2 linked regions of the Oryza sativa Japonica Group genome follow. The protein of the gene in region 1 binds, or shares a complex with, the protein of each later gene. Links are inferred from orthologs where the notes say so. Each region holds a gene or a part of one and is shown on either strand. Other genes may lie near its edges.

Region 1 (8,379 bases):
ATGAAGGTAAGGTTCAGTCAGTCATGGGTGCATCACAACTCACAAGTTCACACCTCTTACATCTTGAGATGCATCGATCACACGGGGCACAGCAAAAATCAGCTAGCTAGCTCATTGGTTCGGGATTAATTGCATCTCAAGAGTTCAGACTTCAGTCTTCAGAGGCAATGACCGTCCTTCCCTCTTTGGATCAATTTCAGATGAATATTGAGTGTGGTCCACAAATTTTGGACCAAATTAATTAAAACGATCATTTGGGACTTGGGAGCGCCTTTACAAACCACCGCTAGATCAGAAGCGAAGACCACAGATTGAAGATGAATTAATTCATTTATTTGTGTACAATTAGGTTCTACATTGATCGAGCTGCATAGGTGCCCGCACCAATCGGACAAAGCCACACACATATATAGTGATCCCATTAATTTGCCCATCGAATGATGACGCGACGGCGCCGAATCTAATAATGCCCTGACCCTATGGTCTCCGGCACATACATGCCTCGTCATATGAGCTTACTTAATTAAGCACCGCAAACTTGAAGGTGAAGGTGTACTTCACATGAACATTACAGATCGATCGATGCCACTTCATTCGTGCACGGATATACTGTATGCACCAATATTGTCGACCACAAGATCGTTTAAGAGTACAGGTAGAATACCCAGATATATAGCTTAGTTAATTATTAAGTCCGTCCAAAAATATACTCTCTCTGTTTTTCTCTCTGTTTTAGGTTATAAGATTTTTGATTTTAGTCAAAATCAAACTGTTTTAAATTTAATAGATAAATATAGCAATATTTATATTATCAAATTAGTTTTATTATATTAATAATTAAATATATTTTATAATAATTTTATCTTGGATTGAAAATATTATTATTTTTTTCTATAAATTTGGTTAAACTTAAAGCAGTTTGACTTTAACCAAAGTCAAAAACATCTTGTAACCTGAAACGGAGAGAGTAACAACCTAATTTCTATCCAGATTCGTGATACTAAAATGTATCAGTATCTAGTATTATGTTGTTATGTAATTGCCGGAACAACAAATGCCGGGCCGACTCAAGCAAATGCATGCCTAGCTCACTCACTCAGCTCAGCTCAATCCCCTGCTATAAATTCACTAGCTAGCTTGTGCACTGCACACAACACACACACTGAACTCTCACATAAACACTTCAACTCATCCCTTAGCTAGAGCTATAGCTAGTGTGTCAATTAGCAATGGCGGTGGCGCACAAGAACAGTAGTAGAAACAAGCTTGCAGTCGCCGCCATTGTGGCGCTGATGAGCCTCCTCGTGTTCGCCGCGGCGCCGTCGGAGGCATGCGGCGGCCGCTGCAACGGCGGCGCCTGCAGATCGCGGTGCGCCAAACCGACGCCGGCGCCGGCGCGCCGCGCCGCCGGCGCCAAGTGCCCGTTCGACGCGCTGAAGCTGGCGGCGTGCGCCGACGTGCTGGGCGGCGGCGGCGGAGGAGGAGGGCTGCTGAACCTGGGCCATCTGCTGGGGAACTCGTCGCCGTCGTCCTCCGGCGAGCAGTGCTGCGGGCTCCTCGCCGGCCTCGCCGACGTGGACGCCGCCGTGTGCCTCTGCACGGCGCTGCGCGCCAACGTGCTCGGCCTCGTCGGCGTCGAGCCGCACGTCCAGCTCAGCGTCCTCGTCAACCGCTGCAGCAGGAAGCTCCCCAATGGCTTCCAGTGCTCCAGCAACTAGCTAATTAAGCTAGCTAATTTGATTATATCTGAATTAATTAGTGCTTGATGAGCAGCTCATGCAGCTATTGTTATTGTTCGCTTATTTGATTTGTTGTTAATTGCTTTCGGTGTCGTGTGTGATCGTGTAGCGCATGCTTACTACTTTGATGACCGATGTTGAGTTAATTAATTCCTGTGCTTGAGTGAGTGACATTACATCTACATGTACCTCGGAGTTGATTTGTGCTTTTGCGTGCTAAAGTTCGTTATAAAAATCTTGTGTTGAATATATGTTGCTCGAGTAATATACCGTATATGTGATTCTGAATCTGAGCTGAATATGGAATAGTCAGTGTTTAATCTGCATGCATGGAGCAAGATTCCGAGAAACAACCGGTGAGTAAACTAGCGAGAATCTGAAAAGGAATGAGTTTGCCAACTTTTGAAATTCTGCAACTACAAATTATCAGAATGCAAGTCAAAATATGGAATGTTTAGAGCAACCGGGGATTATTCTCAAAGTTAAAGCTGCTATAGGCACCCCCAAAACAGGGCCAAGAGCTGGTTTGGAAACAATGCCAGAATCCATAACTCGTCTCATTTCTACAGCTTAAAGCCAGGTTGCACCTATAGAACATTGCCCAACAGATGAATGGCGCAAACCGTGGTTCAGACTCCAGGGCATTCTGTAAGAAGTTACAGGGCAAATATAGGCACTTGAAAATTCTAACTTTAAATCGTCAAGAGTCAATTCCTTAGCATGTGCAATAGTTGCTCAAAGACACTCATCGCATTATTATAGAACAAAGCCATGCTTGGCAGGATTCAGCAAATCACAAGATTGTAACTTATAAAAATACAGCGACAACAAAGACAACCATCAGGAACATTGGAATTGTCCTGTTTTTTTCTCTGATTAAAGAAGGCAAGAGAATTCAGTCCATCACATCACTTGAGGAAGTGGGGTCTTCTTCTATGGTCTATCACCAAGTTCCTCTCTCAAATTGTCAAATGGGTAGACTTTTGGAGTCTGCATGAAGAAATATAAAAAATCCTCAGTCAAGTTGTTCATAAAAGCAAATCAAAAGCAGACAGGCATCATTTGTCGTGATTAGGATGAACCATTATCTTAACTTGATCCGGTCTATGCTCAGAAATAGTATGCATATTTCTTTGCCCATTGGCGACAAAATATGCAACAGGCTTGCTACTGTAACAAGTGTTACTTTAATGACTGATCGCACAATCTAATAGCATTCTGGCAAATATAAGGAGATAAATTGAAAATACAGTATTGCCCCCTCTCTTTTGTGAACCTTCATTCTTCAATTAAGTTACAGACCTGGAACACTGAAGAGGCAAGTTGCTTAACATGTATAGTAACTCTGCTATCTGCTGACACTTTTAAGGAGCAAATCAACTCTTGGGGGGATTTCATCTATGGCAGAGAAGCAACTTAGAGAAAGTAAGAGACTGTGTAGCCTGTACGGAGTATCGAACACGGATAATATGTACAAATAAAATCCTACATGCTTCAAAGTTCGCAACAGTTTAGCCTACCACACCATGTCACCATGATATCTCTATGAACTATGAAGCTAGACCAAACACCTCCCTTTTTCCCCTAAAAAAAACTCCCTTTTCAGAATCGAAATTGGATAGGTGCTGAGAAAGGAGACTAATAGGTCAGAAAATTGAAGGGTTAAAGAGTTCTACAAAGACCACACAAAGTTATTATCACAGCCCCACTCCATGATTCAACTCAAACTAGTGCCTAGTATGATCACATTGAGGTAATATTTAGTGTTACATATAGACCAACAGAACATGATAATCAATACTACTACCTCCATTTCACAATGTAAGACTTTCTAACATTGTCCATATTCATATAGATGTTAATGAATTTAGACGCATATTTGTGTTTATATTCATTAACATCTATATGAATATGGGTAATGCTAGAAAGTCTTACATTGTGAAACGGAGGGAGTACAATTCAAGTAATATAAATCAAGGCTTTTACATATGAGGAAACACAATGAAGTTATATTTACAGAAGATGCTAAAATATAGAGTGCATGGCCTGATCAAGAAGTAAATTTAGGCATAGTGAGTAAAATGTTCCCTAAGAATATCACAGATTCTATAAAATAACACCTCATACAATATCCTCTCATCCAAAAACATTTGAAGGCAGCTAATAAGGGTGACTAAATTCAGCTTGCTAACAGAGAGTGGCAATACGCCATATATATTTGTAACTGTTTGATACAAGAGGATAAGAGCACATGACTGATTGCATTTAGGATTTAAAATATACATCCTTCAAAAATGCCATCTATTCATCATATTTTCTTACAGTACAACTAGGTCTATGATTGTTTAGTCTAGTGATGATTTCTTTTTATGAAAATGGACAACAATGATCTCAATTCCATTAAATCATTTTCAAACTCTTTTTTTTCCCTCTTTTGCTGATTCTATAAATTGGAGGGTAGGAACAATATAAAATTACTCTTTGCTATATGACTATATAGCTAGGAGCAATATAGAATTACTTGTCAGTATATACTATATAGTAGCAAGGAACAGATCGAACCCAAGGAGCTATTGTTCAACAGAAAACTTCAATGTGCATTGTTAATTCAATAATATAATTAATGCAGATGATCAGCATACTCCCTTAGTGGCCTAATCCTCATAGAAGTTATCTGGAGGCAAAATCTTCTAACTTGAGAATGACTAGATATAACATTTAGACATATTAACTGTGCCACCTAGAGAATCATGTGAGCAAAATGGAAGGAAAGGAATTTGCAGAAACAACGGCAGGTCCTAATGGGCGAAATAAAGGTTTAACTATGACACAGGGATTGAATCACAGTGGCCATTTCCCATCTTAATGTTTTCCCCATCCCTGCAATGTTTTCTTGGCTATTTGGTCTAACCTTACAGTATTACTTTGTTCACTCCTACTGTTGTTGAAATGCTAGCAATTCTACTGTTTGTCCATCCAACAGAAAGTAAAATATCACAATGAAGTATTTGGCACTCACATAGGGGATCTTGGAGGCCTTGTCGTTCAAGGTGGCAGCCAAGCCAAGAGTAGCGAAGAATCCGAGCCCACCGCAAAGCCAGGCCAGCGCCTCGTACTGACCAAATAGCATCACATCAAATCAAACCAGATGAGACCCCCACGAATCCATGTGATTCAGTGCATGAGGGTTGGGAATCAGACCTTGCCGATGTGCGGCGCGAGGCGGTCGATGCAGGGCTCCGGGAAGGGCGTGCCGTTGTCCCACACCAGCTCGTCGTTCGTCGGCAGCTGCAAATTCCCCAAATCCCCCCGCAAATCGAATCGATTAGATGGAGAAATCGCATCGGCGGAGAGAGAAATCGGAGGAGCACAAGGTCGATGAGAGGGGGGGGGAGAGGTGTGGCGAGAGACGGCTTACGGGCTTGTCGGGGACGATGTGCCTGCCGACGGGGAGGCCCATGCCGGCGCGGTGGCGGAGCGCGGACACCGCGGCGCGGGCAGCGGCGCCCTGGCCGCCCAGGACGCGGGATCCCGCCGCGGTCAGCCTCCCTGCCATTCCCACCTCGCTCTCGCTCTCGCCTCTCGGATCTGCGCGTGCGGTTGTGGGTGACGTCGTCTCGTGTGCGGTTGTGCTCGTCGGCGGCGGCGGCGGAGAGGAGGAAGACGCAGGAGTGTAGGTGGGCTTCAGTTCAGCCTTCGCATTGTGGGCCCGTGGGCCGAGTGGAGAAGGCAAGTATTGGGTCAACCAAACGGCCTAGTCGCTGCATGGCCCAAACGCCTCTTTTGGGGGTTCGGAGAATAAAACCACAGCAATCATCACACGCGCATCAGCGATATATATTTTTTATTTTTTTTGTTTTTTGTTGCCGTTTTGGTTTGATCGGTTGATCCGAAAACTGGATATGAGAAATTGTCGGACGAAATTTGCACTTTCTGGCTAGGTGACTGCTGATGGAGTCACACGTACATATTCAGTTCAGTTGTTAAGGCTGTGTTTAGTTCCTAAAATTGAGAAGAAGTTTAAGAAAAGTTAATAGTTTTAAAAAAAAGTTGAGAGTTTATGTGAGTAGAAAAATTTTGTATTTAATGCGATGTGATGGAAAGTTGGAAGTTTAGGAAAAGTTTAATGTGAATTAAACAGGGTCTAAGGTGATGAGCTGCTAGCTACTACTCCTACCTTGCAAATGTTGCCAAAATGAACTAGCTAGGGCATGAATTATGGGATCAGCGATCAGTATAGGTTTCAGAAAGCGCACAAACATTTCCACTCAACAGTACAGTACGCGCGGTTGGACGAGCCATAATTAATTCAGATATACAGTATGCTGCTCCGTTTGGTTAATTCCAGGTCGCCATTATTAAAGTAGGTCATGAGATAACAGTCCCTCCATCTCTGTCACTAAGAGCACCCACAATCTATCTAATAAAACATGTACATCTCAGCAATAGACTAGATTAATAGTAAACCACCTCAATAGTATGTCTACATGGGTATCTATAGCTCTCTAATCCATTGTCTCGTTTTTCTCTATAGACTATCTCTAGGTTAGTAGATAATTTTGCTCTCTCTCTTTATTTAATCTCTTTCAAGTAGGAAAATATGCTGACATGGATCTCTTATAGATAGCCTATAAATAACCATTGTGGGTGCCCTAACAGCTACTCCCTCCGTCCCAAAAAAAAGGCAAACTCTGGGTTTCCGTGCCAACGTTTGACTGTCCGTCTTATATGAAATTTTTTTATAATTATTATTTTTATTGTTGTTAGATGATAAAACATGATTAATACTTTATACGTGACTTATCTTTTTAATTTTTTTTATAATTTTTTTAAATAAGGCGAATGATCAAATGTTAGACACGGAAACTAGGGTTTATCTTTTTTTTGGACGGATGGAGTAGGAGTATTCAGGTCATGACTCATGAGTGCTATCTGTCTCTACGGTATTTCTGAAGAAAACCACACGGCAAATGGCACAAGTCAATCCTACGTGCTCCACTGTAGAATCTAGTCCTATAGTCCCATATACTCTTGACAAGTACTGTTGCTTATTGTGATATCATAATGCAATTAGTACTTTATTACTTATTAGTGAGTACTCCTACGTTCAGAAGCAACTTATTAGTTAACTGACTAACTGCATATTTAATTAAGCGGCTAAGTTGCGCGCGGTTCTTTACCCATCAAATTGCATAATCTGTAATGCGGTTCCAAGAACAGCTTGAGTAAAATGAGACAGAGATCCAGTCTCACTCGCTCACCGAAAACATGAAAATTCAGAACGTACAGTCTGCAAGAAATCTCCTCGCACTCGCCGACGTCCGTGCTATCCGTACGTCTCCGGCGGCGACCCCTCCTAGGATTGACACACAGTGAGAGGGGCCGCGTGGACCCAGTCTCTTTTTAGCCCAAATGTCTCCTTGGGGATTCCACCTCCGACGAACCACTGGGCACTTGCATTTGTTCGGGGTTTAGCCTTCATCCGAAATCTGAAAACGAGTAATTCGGAGATCTCCTCTGACATCCGAGAATTGATGCAGATCATGCATCACCGTGTGTGTTTAGTTCACGTCAAAATTAAAAATTTGGTTAAAATTTGAACGATGTGATGAAAAAGTTAGAAGTTTATGTGTGTAGAAAAGTTTGGATGTGATGAAAAAGTTAAAAGTTTGAAGAAAAATGTCAGGATAAGCAAGGAAGCTGACGTTACCAATAGGAGGCGCGATAAGGACTCTGACGAAGGCGGAGGAGCAGAAGACGGAGGAGCAGAAGGCGTCTTTGAAAGAGAGAAGCGCCAGAGTATTACTAATCCTAGATATGTTGGGCCGGAATGGGCCGTGTAATAGGGTAGAGTGGGCTGAGACCTTGTGGCACAGCTGGAGAGAGAGAGAGAGAGATTAAAAACTACTGTGTACTGTCTGAAACGGCATCGATCTGGAACTCGGCGGTCAAGGCAGCGGCGGCGGCTCCGATCCTGTTGGATCGTGAGAGAAATACAAAGTTCCAGCTACCTATCGTGTTCTTGAGTTCGTGGTGAAATCGAGTGCTAGGGTTCTAACAATCTGGTATCAGAGCCATCTCCAACCATATCCTCTTGACTCGGCCGTAGAATCACGAAGCGCGGATTGGAATCTGCTCTCGAGCAGAATCCGCAAAAAGGGAACTCGCTTCCCTTGCTGCGTTTGGGTTGGCTGAGTTCGGAGCGGTTGCGAGTCTTTGATCCTGGAGAAACCACGGTACGTTACGAAGTAGGCTGCGCAAATCATGGCGTAGGAAGGGATGTTGGATTTGCTGCTTAAAACCCTGGAGGATATTGAGAAGATGCGGACTGAGGCGGAAGAAAGAAACAGAGCAGATCTGAATGAGTTCATGGCGGCGGTGGAAGCGAGGTTGCCTCAAGTAGAGAAACGAGTTGGGGATTTGCATTCGTCGCTGGGGGATTTGAGTGCTAAGGTGGAACAACTGGAGAGCGCCATGCTTCGTCAGGCCAAGGCGGAGAAGGCGGTGGGAGACATCAAGGAGGAACCAACAGCTGCATCGCCATCACCAACTCCATCGTTTATCCATGGTATGAGAGATCCTATGTTGAATTCTATTTCGCCTTTTGTGGTAGAATCAGCAGGAGTACCAGAAGGGGGTA
Region 2 (8,380 bases), on another chromosome or scaffold:
ATTTGAACACGGATACTCATAACTACGCCTAAAATAGGATGGAGGGAGTAGGTGACACTACCAGTAGTGGGGGAATTGCTCTTAGTTTTTAGTTGGTGATCCAAGTAGACAAAATAGGTTGTGACTTGGAGTATCAAAAAGATCGTTTGACTACGAAATCCCTATATACTTTTGGCCCTCATCAAGGCAGGTTCTGCAAAAGCAACCAGATCCCCATAATCCGGCCTGAAGAACACATAACCTAAGACTGGCCACGACTAAAGATAATTAGGTAAGCAATGGATCAACAAAACTAAAGCACAAACAACAACTGCAGTTCCTATGCTACACACAGTAGTGACAGAGCATATAAAAGGTTTCAGCCTATGAGCTTATGGAAGGATATGTTACTGGGAGACTGGGAGTAACTGGGTTGTTCTACTGAATTAAAGTAGCTCTTCATATGCAGAGTCCACGCATTGCATTCAAAACTTTAAGGCGTCATTTCAGTCATTGAGTATAAACAGGTAGTTCCTTATTTCATATTGAAACTCGAAGATGCTCACCAACGGAGTAAAGGCGGAGAGAAGAAGACAACAGTTAACTTTATGCTAAATTCAAACAGATGTTTGGTTCATAGAACTAGCATCCACGATCCTTGCACAATGTCCTTCGTGCTGTCATAACCAGCCCTGTGCATCCGAAAGGAATCCAATTGTCAATATGACTGATAAACTGATAAATGTGTGCTATATAAAAAAGAAAAATCGGATGGAGTTTCTAGACAGAGTGCCATCAGGGAAGGAACAAAACAGAACCAAATTGTGCCAGAGGAAACAGAATAAAACAGCATCGCATTTACTGACTCAGGTTGAGGTGAAAACAAAGGATGCACAGAGTAAACACCACATGAGCCACATGCCATTCTGATAGGGAAAAAACCGCTGTCCCCAAACTTAACCATCTGACACATCCAATGTCTATGCCATCAAAGGTTATAGTGATGCATTCAAATGGGAGAGGAACCTCCCAAAGAGCACTTATCATCAAAGGCATGAAGACTAAATAGTTGCAGCATCTAAGATGCCGGTCTATACTATGATGACTGAACTGTAGAGAGTATGGATCTACCAATATGCCAGAAACTAACAGCCTAAAGGTACAGAATGATTTCATCACCTAATGGACAGTTGAAAAGATTGCAAATGCCAACACGATTTATGTCAGTGTGTCATGATTCATAACTCTGAAGATAAAGTAGTACTCCATACACAATAAGTGCAAGGAATCATTTTGCAGTTACTATTAGCAGAAGAAACGAAGCAGCCAAAGTATATTATCTGTACTTATGTACTTCTGTCATTATTATGTCCTTTGTTTCTTGTTGTCACAGAGGAACTATCAAAGAGAACTTGCACTGCAATACTCCTACTACTAGATACTTCAAACAAATGATTTGCAGTGGACAGTTCCTTAAATATCACATCCAATATGTTTTCAACAAAACATGGATGAGAAAAGGACTTAATGTTTAAGAGGTGCACACGGAAGGTAACTCTAAAAACAAGATAGACTACATATTTGCAACATTTCTGTCCCAGATCAATTTCCCTATATCTTGTTATCTTTTGATGGTTGCTTCCATGAATTAGGTTGGTCACTCATGTTAAGTTAAATGATCTTCTATGTCAAAGAGAAGGTAAGCGGCTCAGCAAAGAAAGCAAGTAGAACTACAAATCCAGTAATTACTCAGCAATTTGGTATAATTGTTCACCAGCATTTGCTCATTCTGATACTGTATTTTACATCCGGTTTGCCAGTAACTAGTAATTAGTGACACTAGTTCTGTTTGTATGTTTATAAACCAACGACCGTGTAGTATTTAACTTTTAGTGGTTCGCTTTCTTAAAAAAATGGCCAGTAAATTGCACAAAGCACCATATTACAACTAAATAAAACATCAAATCAAGATTTTGGGAAAGACTTCTTGATCTCCATTGCTAGGTCACTAATACCAATGCCATCAAATCACAGGTCTACCAAACAATTGTCAGCTGTCAAGGCAGCACTCTGTAAATGAGAATAGAAACAGGGGAAATCATAGAATAAAGCAAATAAATGCACACAACTGATTGGAGATGCATCAAATGAGAGGACTTTATTCTCAAATAAGAGATGTATAAACAACCAGGTCACGTTCTTTAAAAAGGATACCCCATTGATATCAACCCAGAGGCCAGAGGTCAATTTCAAATAAACTTTAGCTCATGAGAGAAAGGACAAAGTAAAATTGAAAAAAAAAAGGTTGGCTAACAACAAAGCTTTATGTATAAGTAGACATGAATACAACTAATGCTGGTCATACAAGGTAAAGTGTGCCAGCATAGCTAAGAAGGGGGAAGGCAAAAGCATGGGGAAACATAATTTCTGTATAAATTTTAATCAAAGAAGAGCTTTTACTTGTCCTAAATGAAATAAAGAAAAGTACCCTGTTAAGGGACAGAGAGAAGTCAAAACGTTAGAGATCACTGAGTGACTGAGAGCAACTATCAGCTTAAAACAGAAAAAAAACCTGAAATGCTCCATTGCTACAAGGCTCCAGGCTAAACAGCAGGAATTCTGACTATGTGTTTCCCAAGTCTACATAGTTTTCCCGTGAACTTCAGCACCACCAAGAGGGATTTGCATCCTCTGACATGCAGTAGTTAAGTCAGAGACGTGCAGTACCCCTCTATATCAACTGTCTGTTTTAATCCAATGATCCTTATTTGGTCTTCGTTCTCCCCTTTTCTTCCTGCCTTCTTCGCAGTTCGCACATACTCCTAAGTCATTACATGCCTACGGCCACAAAATCCACGATGCTGTGGTATGGCGCTGTGGTCATCGAGTACCCATGAAACAAAGCAGAGCTTGTGGAAGTGTTGTTCAGGTTGGGGTCACCTGTGGCTGCGGAGTGGCGGGTGAGCTCTGTGGTGGCCAGAAACATGGCATTGGTGGTGTCCTGCTCCGGTGGGCTGAGGCAGATAATTTGCTCTGGAAAGCGAAAGGGGCTATAGAACATGTGAAAAATAATTTCAACCTCGATTTGAGAAAATTAGCCTTGAGGTGGCAAATTTTAGAGTTGATCTTTGGAGCGGTCAGAAACGGTTCAGCCCAATTTTGTGGCCGTCCAACGGCACGCGCCGCCACACGGACACTACGAAGAAAAGGGAGGCTAACTTAAGGAGCTCCGCTTGGTATTGGCCAAAGCAATCACTAATGAAACAAATTCGCTTCTCAGCAGCATTCTCCTCATTAACATCAAGCATTTTGGTCGTTGACGTGCTCAGACGAGAGGTCCTAGTGGATGGGAACAGCGTGTCCTTAACAATGCAACCTTGCAAGCAGTGGAGAAGAACTGGCTAATAAGCAGGAGCCATCGGATGGTTTTGGACAGCGGATAGATGGGTACTACCACGTCTTCGACTTGACTACTGCGTGTCAGAGGATCCGAATCCCACCACCAAGAGCACAGCTAGTGGAAATTCAAAGTGCATACCAGTGCAGGATATCAGGCAAGTGTTGGGATCGAAACATTCAGCAAGTTGGTGACAACAAAACTAAATTCAGATCTCCAAATAAATTGGGTTACTGATGCAGGATTCAGGCATGTATTGTTCTCCCACGAATTAGTGTTGGACTTATATCTCCCAATCATAACCAGCTAGTGAAAACCAGTAGTGTTAGGATTCATAACCAACTAGTGAAAACCCTAGCTAACATTGTAGCACCGGTATAAGAAATTCAGTAGGTTGAACTGATGGCGCCGCTAAAACAGCCGAAATGGAAACTCAAGTTTCAATACCTCTACAGCCTAAAGGTTCATCAGTAGTGCTCGTCGAATTCCGAAGGGTAAAATTTGCGTTGAAATCGCAATCACGAAGCCAATCACAGCAATCGAGCCAAATCTAGAGGGGCCAAAATGACAAGGCGGGGCGGGGGATCACCTGAATAGAGCAGATCGAAGCGGAGCGGGGATCAGGAGAGCTTGGCGGTGGAAGGGATGAGGGGGACGCCAATGGTGGCGGCGCCCTTGGACTTGGCCTCCTGCGCCTCGCGGATCTTCTGCATCTGGATCATCCGCTCCATGACGAGCTCGTACTGGCACTTCTCGTAGGCGTGGCGCTCGGGCTCGCACTTCCAGGGGAGGTAGTACTCGGCGACGCGGCACTTGTTGAGGGGGATGAGGAGGTGGGCGCACTGGTCGCGGTAGGGCAGTGGGAGGCGCGCCTCCGACATCTCCGCCTGGGTCGCGATCTGCGGCTTCGAGGTGCCCAGCTGCACGCCGGCCGCCGCCGCCGCCTCCATCTCGCGCTCTTCCTTTCTCTCTCCTCTCCGGCGAGGCGGTCGATGGTTGGTGGTGCGGTGTGTGGATGCGGGTGGTTGGATCGGTCGCTTTGGGCTCGGGTTCGGGCTCCAGCTAGACCAAGAAGTTTCTCGCTTCCCCAATGCCCCAAGTAAACTTCCGTAAAAAATAAAAAAAATGGCCCCAAGTAAACTGGGATTAAAAGTTGAACGTAGTCATAAGTCATAGTAACACATAGCTGATGTTTGAGATAGATTTAGAATAAAATCAGCGCAGAGAAAGTTATCAGAGTATAATTAATTAAGTTTTAATTGTTCCAAACATAAAAAAATTATTATTTAATATTTTAAAGTAATGCTTATATAAAAAGCCCTATTCTTTTCTGATTAAGATTTAAATTTTATATGGGTTTTCGATAACGGGTTTCTCGAACTGCTAAACGGTGTGTTTTTCTTTTAAAAAAACTTCTAAGATCTTTAGATTTGTTTTACATAGACGGAACAACGAAATAACATACGGCAATAGATAACGATGGTGCTTGTGGTGAAGCGACAAGGGTGCCATGGCACCCACCCTAGCTAGATCTGCAGCGAGGAGTCGAGCTGCGATGGTCCGATGAGAGATGGTGGCGGCGAGTTAGAGGAGAAGCAGATGATGCTTGCAGGCGAGAGGCAACAACAGCGAGGACTAGTGGTGACGAATGAGGATGAGGTTAACATGATTGCGACGGGACTAGAGTTAGCATCACAATCGAGGATTATTGACGTGGGTGGCGACAACGTAGGTAGCGGTGAGTCCTACATGAAGTAGAGAAGGTCAACCCTACCCAGGCCTCAGCGGGTCCCACATATCATCATTGCTAAGATGTGGTTGGGGTGTGGTTTACTGGAAGAGAAGTATCAAAATAACTCTAGATATCTGGATAGACTAAAATCTCCATGGTTATTTTGAAACTCAGACCATAATACTAGAGGTTTTGTGATATTTACTTTAATTTTTTTTAGAAAAACATTGGCAATCAAAAACTTGTTTCTTAATAAAATTTTGCCGGCCTCAACCTTAATCTTTATCCGTTTTATGCCCAACTAGAGTACTACAATATGTTAGCTGTGTTGTGGTGGGCTTAGCCAGACTCATTTTGGTACCAAGCCATACAAATCCATGCTTTAGCCAGGTATGTCATAAATGATAATAACAAGTTAGCTTTTCTTATATATATATATATATATATATATATATATATATATATATATATATATATATATATATATATATATATATATATATATATATATATATATATATATATATCTATATATATATATATGTGTGTGTGTGTGTGTGTGTGTGACTTATAAGCTAATGGATTTTAAAGTTCTAACTTTAAATGTAGAGTCATATTTTTTTTACCTTATATAAGCTTAAAAAAAAGCTTCTGACTTAGCTTTTGGCTTAATAGCACAAGAGTAGCTTACGACTTTAAAAAGGCGAAACGAAAAAACCGCTTGTTTAATAGCATAAGATTTTTTGCACATAAATTAGTTTATAATCCTAAACAAAGAGGATTGAAAGTTTGGATATTTAGCTACGTTGAGCTACGGATTGAATGGGCTACATTTTATTTGGGTCACTTTTGTGTTACATCATGGATGCCCTGATAAGAGCACTACCCTCAGAGCACTTCTGTCGTGTATCGATAAATCTGCTAACAACAAAATGCAGTACTAGTACGCACGATTTTTTTTAGAAATGAGGGAGTCAAAATATACTTATTTAAAGCTAAGGACGGTGGGTTGATCATGCCTTCGACACGACACGGTCCGAGTTTATTGGGCCGTGCCAGGGCCATAGTGCAGCCCATGAGCGGGCACGGCCTGTCACAGTGAGTTTGTTGGTCCGTGACGGCCCGACTGCCCTCAGACCAGGCAGGCAGCCCCTTCGGCCATTTATAGTGTAGATTCTGATTGTCTCCTCCAAGGCTCCAATGCGAATGCTCGTGTAAGTTCTGAATGTTTCTCCTCCAATGCAAATGCAGAACTGTCCAGGCTCTGAATGCTAACGGCGAGTGATATCGGGTATTGCAGTTGCCTAGCAGACTGTCACCAAGCAACCACATGTCCACATTTACGGGTGACATGGAAAATTTGTCAGCAATTTGACAAATAACTAATATTTGTGATTCATTCTTCTCATTTTTTTAAGTATCTCTAATTGAAAGCACATACAATTTATAGTTGGATATTCGTTGATAATTTTTCCACTCTGTATTTGGTGATGTGTACTCGCGTATGCCATTTGCTGTCTTCTTTCTTAAATGGAAGGATTTGTCCGTTCTTCACTTCTTCGTGCTGCCTCATTGTTTCCCTTCTGAAAAATAAAAGACCGAAACAACAAAGAACGGACCAAAACTATATAAAAAAATGGATCAGAATTCTGGCTTGGAATCCTCCTCGAAGAGGGGTCACTTGTGCGCACTGTATAATCATAGTCGATCATCTGGGGAAAGGATCGTCACTTCCATTCAAACAAACAATTGGACGAGCAAAAACTGTACAGAAAAAAAAATTACAAAACCACAAAAAGTAAAGTTAAATATTGCATTCTGTATGGATCAGATTTCTGGCTTGAATCCTCCGAAAAGGGATTACATTTGCGCACAGTATAATCGTAGTCGATCATCTGGGGAAAGGATCTTCACTTCCATTCAAACAAACAAACAAACAAAAAAGGGTCGCGCAAAAAAACACTGCAAAACAAAAATACAAAGCTGAAATTGTGTTGAGAATAGCAGATGGATCAGATTTCTGGCTTGAATCCTCTGAAGAGGGATTACATTTGCGCACAGTATAATCATAGTCGATCAGCTGGGGAAAGGATCCTCACTTCCATCAAGATTATATAATATCTCAACCAAAACAACAGGCGAAAATCAGAACACCGCGGATGAATAACTCAGAAACAGATCTAGTGGATGAACTCCCAGAGAAACGAAACCAAATCAGATGCAAATCAAATGTAGCGGTTTGATCAGAACTACTGGCTTAGAAGCCTTCTCCGAAGAGAAGAGCTTGCAAAAATCGCACAGTACAATCATAGTCGATAATTTGGGGAAAGGATCATCACTTCAAAACTGCATCAGATTTGCAACCGCGTAAAACCAATCTGAAAACCAAACGCAACAGATCTATCTAGAAAGAAGAGAGAACAGAAAAGAAACTCAAATTAAGATTGAACAAACGCGAGAAGCGAAAACCACATATTACCGGTGCGGCGGAAGGGAACGATGAGTGGGTTTCGGAAGAACAGGATGCCGCTTATATAGGGTTGACGGGTCGGCGGCGAGGAAACCCTAGCTCGTATTAGCATCAGATTGTGGTAACAGGCCGACGTGTAACCAAATTGGGCCGGTAAAATATGGGCCTAATCTATAGTTTTGGCCCAAACTCTATACACCTTGTCCTTTTCTATTACTTTCTTTTTTGTCTACTGGGAATCAGGGATGAATAGCAGAAGAACACAAATGTCGTTTTTGTTTATTACTAAATAAAATTCAGAAAACATGAGTAAAAATTTAAGTTGTGGTAACAAAGAGATCGTTCCCTTCTTGCAGTCAAGAGAATGGAGATACATAGGACAGAAAAAAGAGAAGGATTTTATGGAGTGAATTGTGAACAGATTCTACATATCCCTACCGGAGCTGTGTAGGTACAGTGTTGCTGTGTTAGTATCACACATTCACACCGCACACAATTAATAACAGATTAAAAGTTTAAAGCTAGATTTACCCAATATTTTTCAGGGAAAGGCCGAACGAACTAAATTAAGACTGATTAATGATCATCTCGTGATATGGGCCGTATTCTCCCACTGGGCTCACCACAACAAAAAGTTCTGGCCCATCTCATTCTCAATCCTTCCCCCCAACGATAAAACCGAGAAAACTATGCTAACTGCATCTAGGTTGAATTCAGATCCTCTGCATTTAGAGGTATATATATACAAAGGATATAAATAGACATGTGCTTTAGAAAAAACTTCCAACCACACCATCATATT

What was found. The genes of interacting proteins can lie anywhere in the genome.
Region 2: the proteins of NADH dehydrogenase [ubiquinone] 1 beta subcomplex subunit 8, mitochondrial (region 1) and NADH dehydrogenase [ubiquinone] 1 beta subcomplex subunit 7 are in contact, whole or in part, in a cryo-EM structure (PDB 8BEH), measured with the Arabidopsis thaliana proteins. The link is inferred for Oryza sativa Japonica Group from reciprocal best matches to the Arabidopsis thaliana genes AT5G47570 and AT2G02050. Residues at the interface, in NP_568684.1 of Arabidopsis thaliana: Ser103, Lys104, Val105, Pro106, Phe107, Thr108, Pro109, Arg110, Tyr112, Pro113, Tyr114, Leu117, Glu120, Leu121; in NP_565280.1 of Arabidopsis thaliana: Met10, Ala12, Thr13, Gln14, Met17, Leu24, Gly25, Arg27, Asp28, Met29, Arg69, Met70, Ala72, Met73, Ile76, Arg77.

The regions. Positions count from the first base shown.
Region 1 is NC_089044.1:22,341,385-22,349,763, reverse strand, and holds NADH dehydrogenase [ubiquinone] 1 beta subcomplex subunit 8, mitochondrial, read right to left. Parts: upstream 5,375-8,379; 5' UTR 5,296-5,374; coding exon 5,158-5,295; intron 5,028-5,157; coding exon 4,941-5,027; intron 4,855-4,940; coding exon 4,759-4,854; intron 2,730-4,758; coding exon 2,673-2,729; 3' UTR 2,471-2,672; downstream 1-2,470. Other genes in the region: putative lipid-binding protein AIR1B, read left to right, coding at 1,230-1,718. UniProt on the Arabidopsis thaliana protein: Accessory subunit of the mitochondrial membrane respiratory chain NADH dehydrogenase (Complex I), that is believed not to be involved in catalysis. Complex I functions in the transfer of electrons from NADH to the respiratory chain.
Region 2 is NC_089037.1:1,692,934-1,701,313, forward strand, and holds NADH dehydrogenase [ubiquinone] 1 beta subcomplex subunit 7, read right to left. Parts: upstream 4,418-8,380; 5' UTR 4,327-4,417; coding exon 3,997-4,326; 3' UTR 3,966-3,996; intron 672-3,965; 3' UTR 444-671; downstream 1-443. UniProt on the Arabidopsis thaliana protein: Accessory subunit of the mitochondrial membrane respiratory chain NADH dehydrogenase (Complex I), that is believed not to be involved in catalysis. Complex I functions in the transfer of electrons from NADH to the respiratory chain.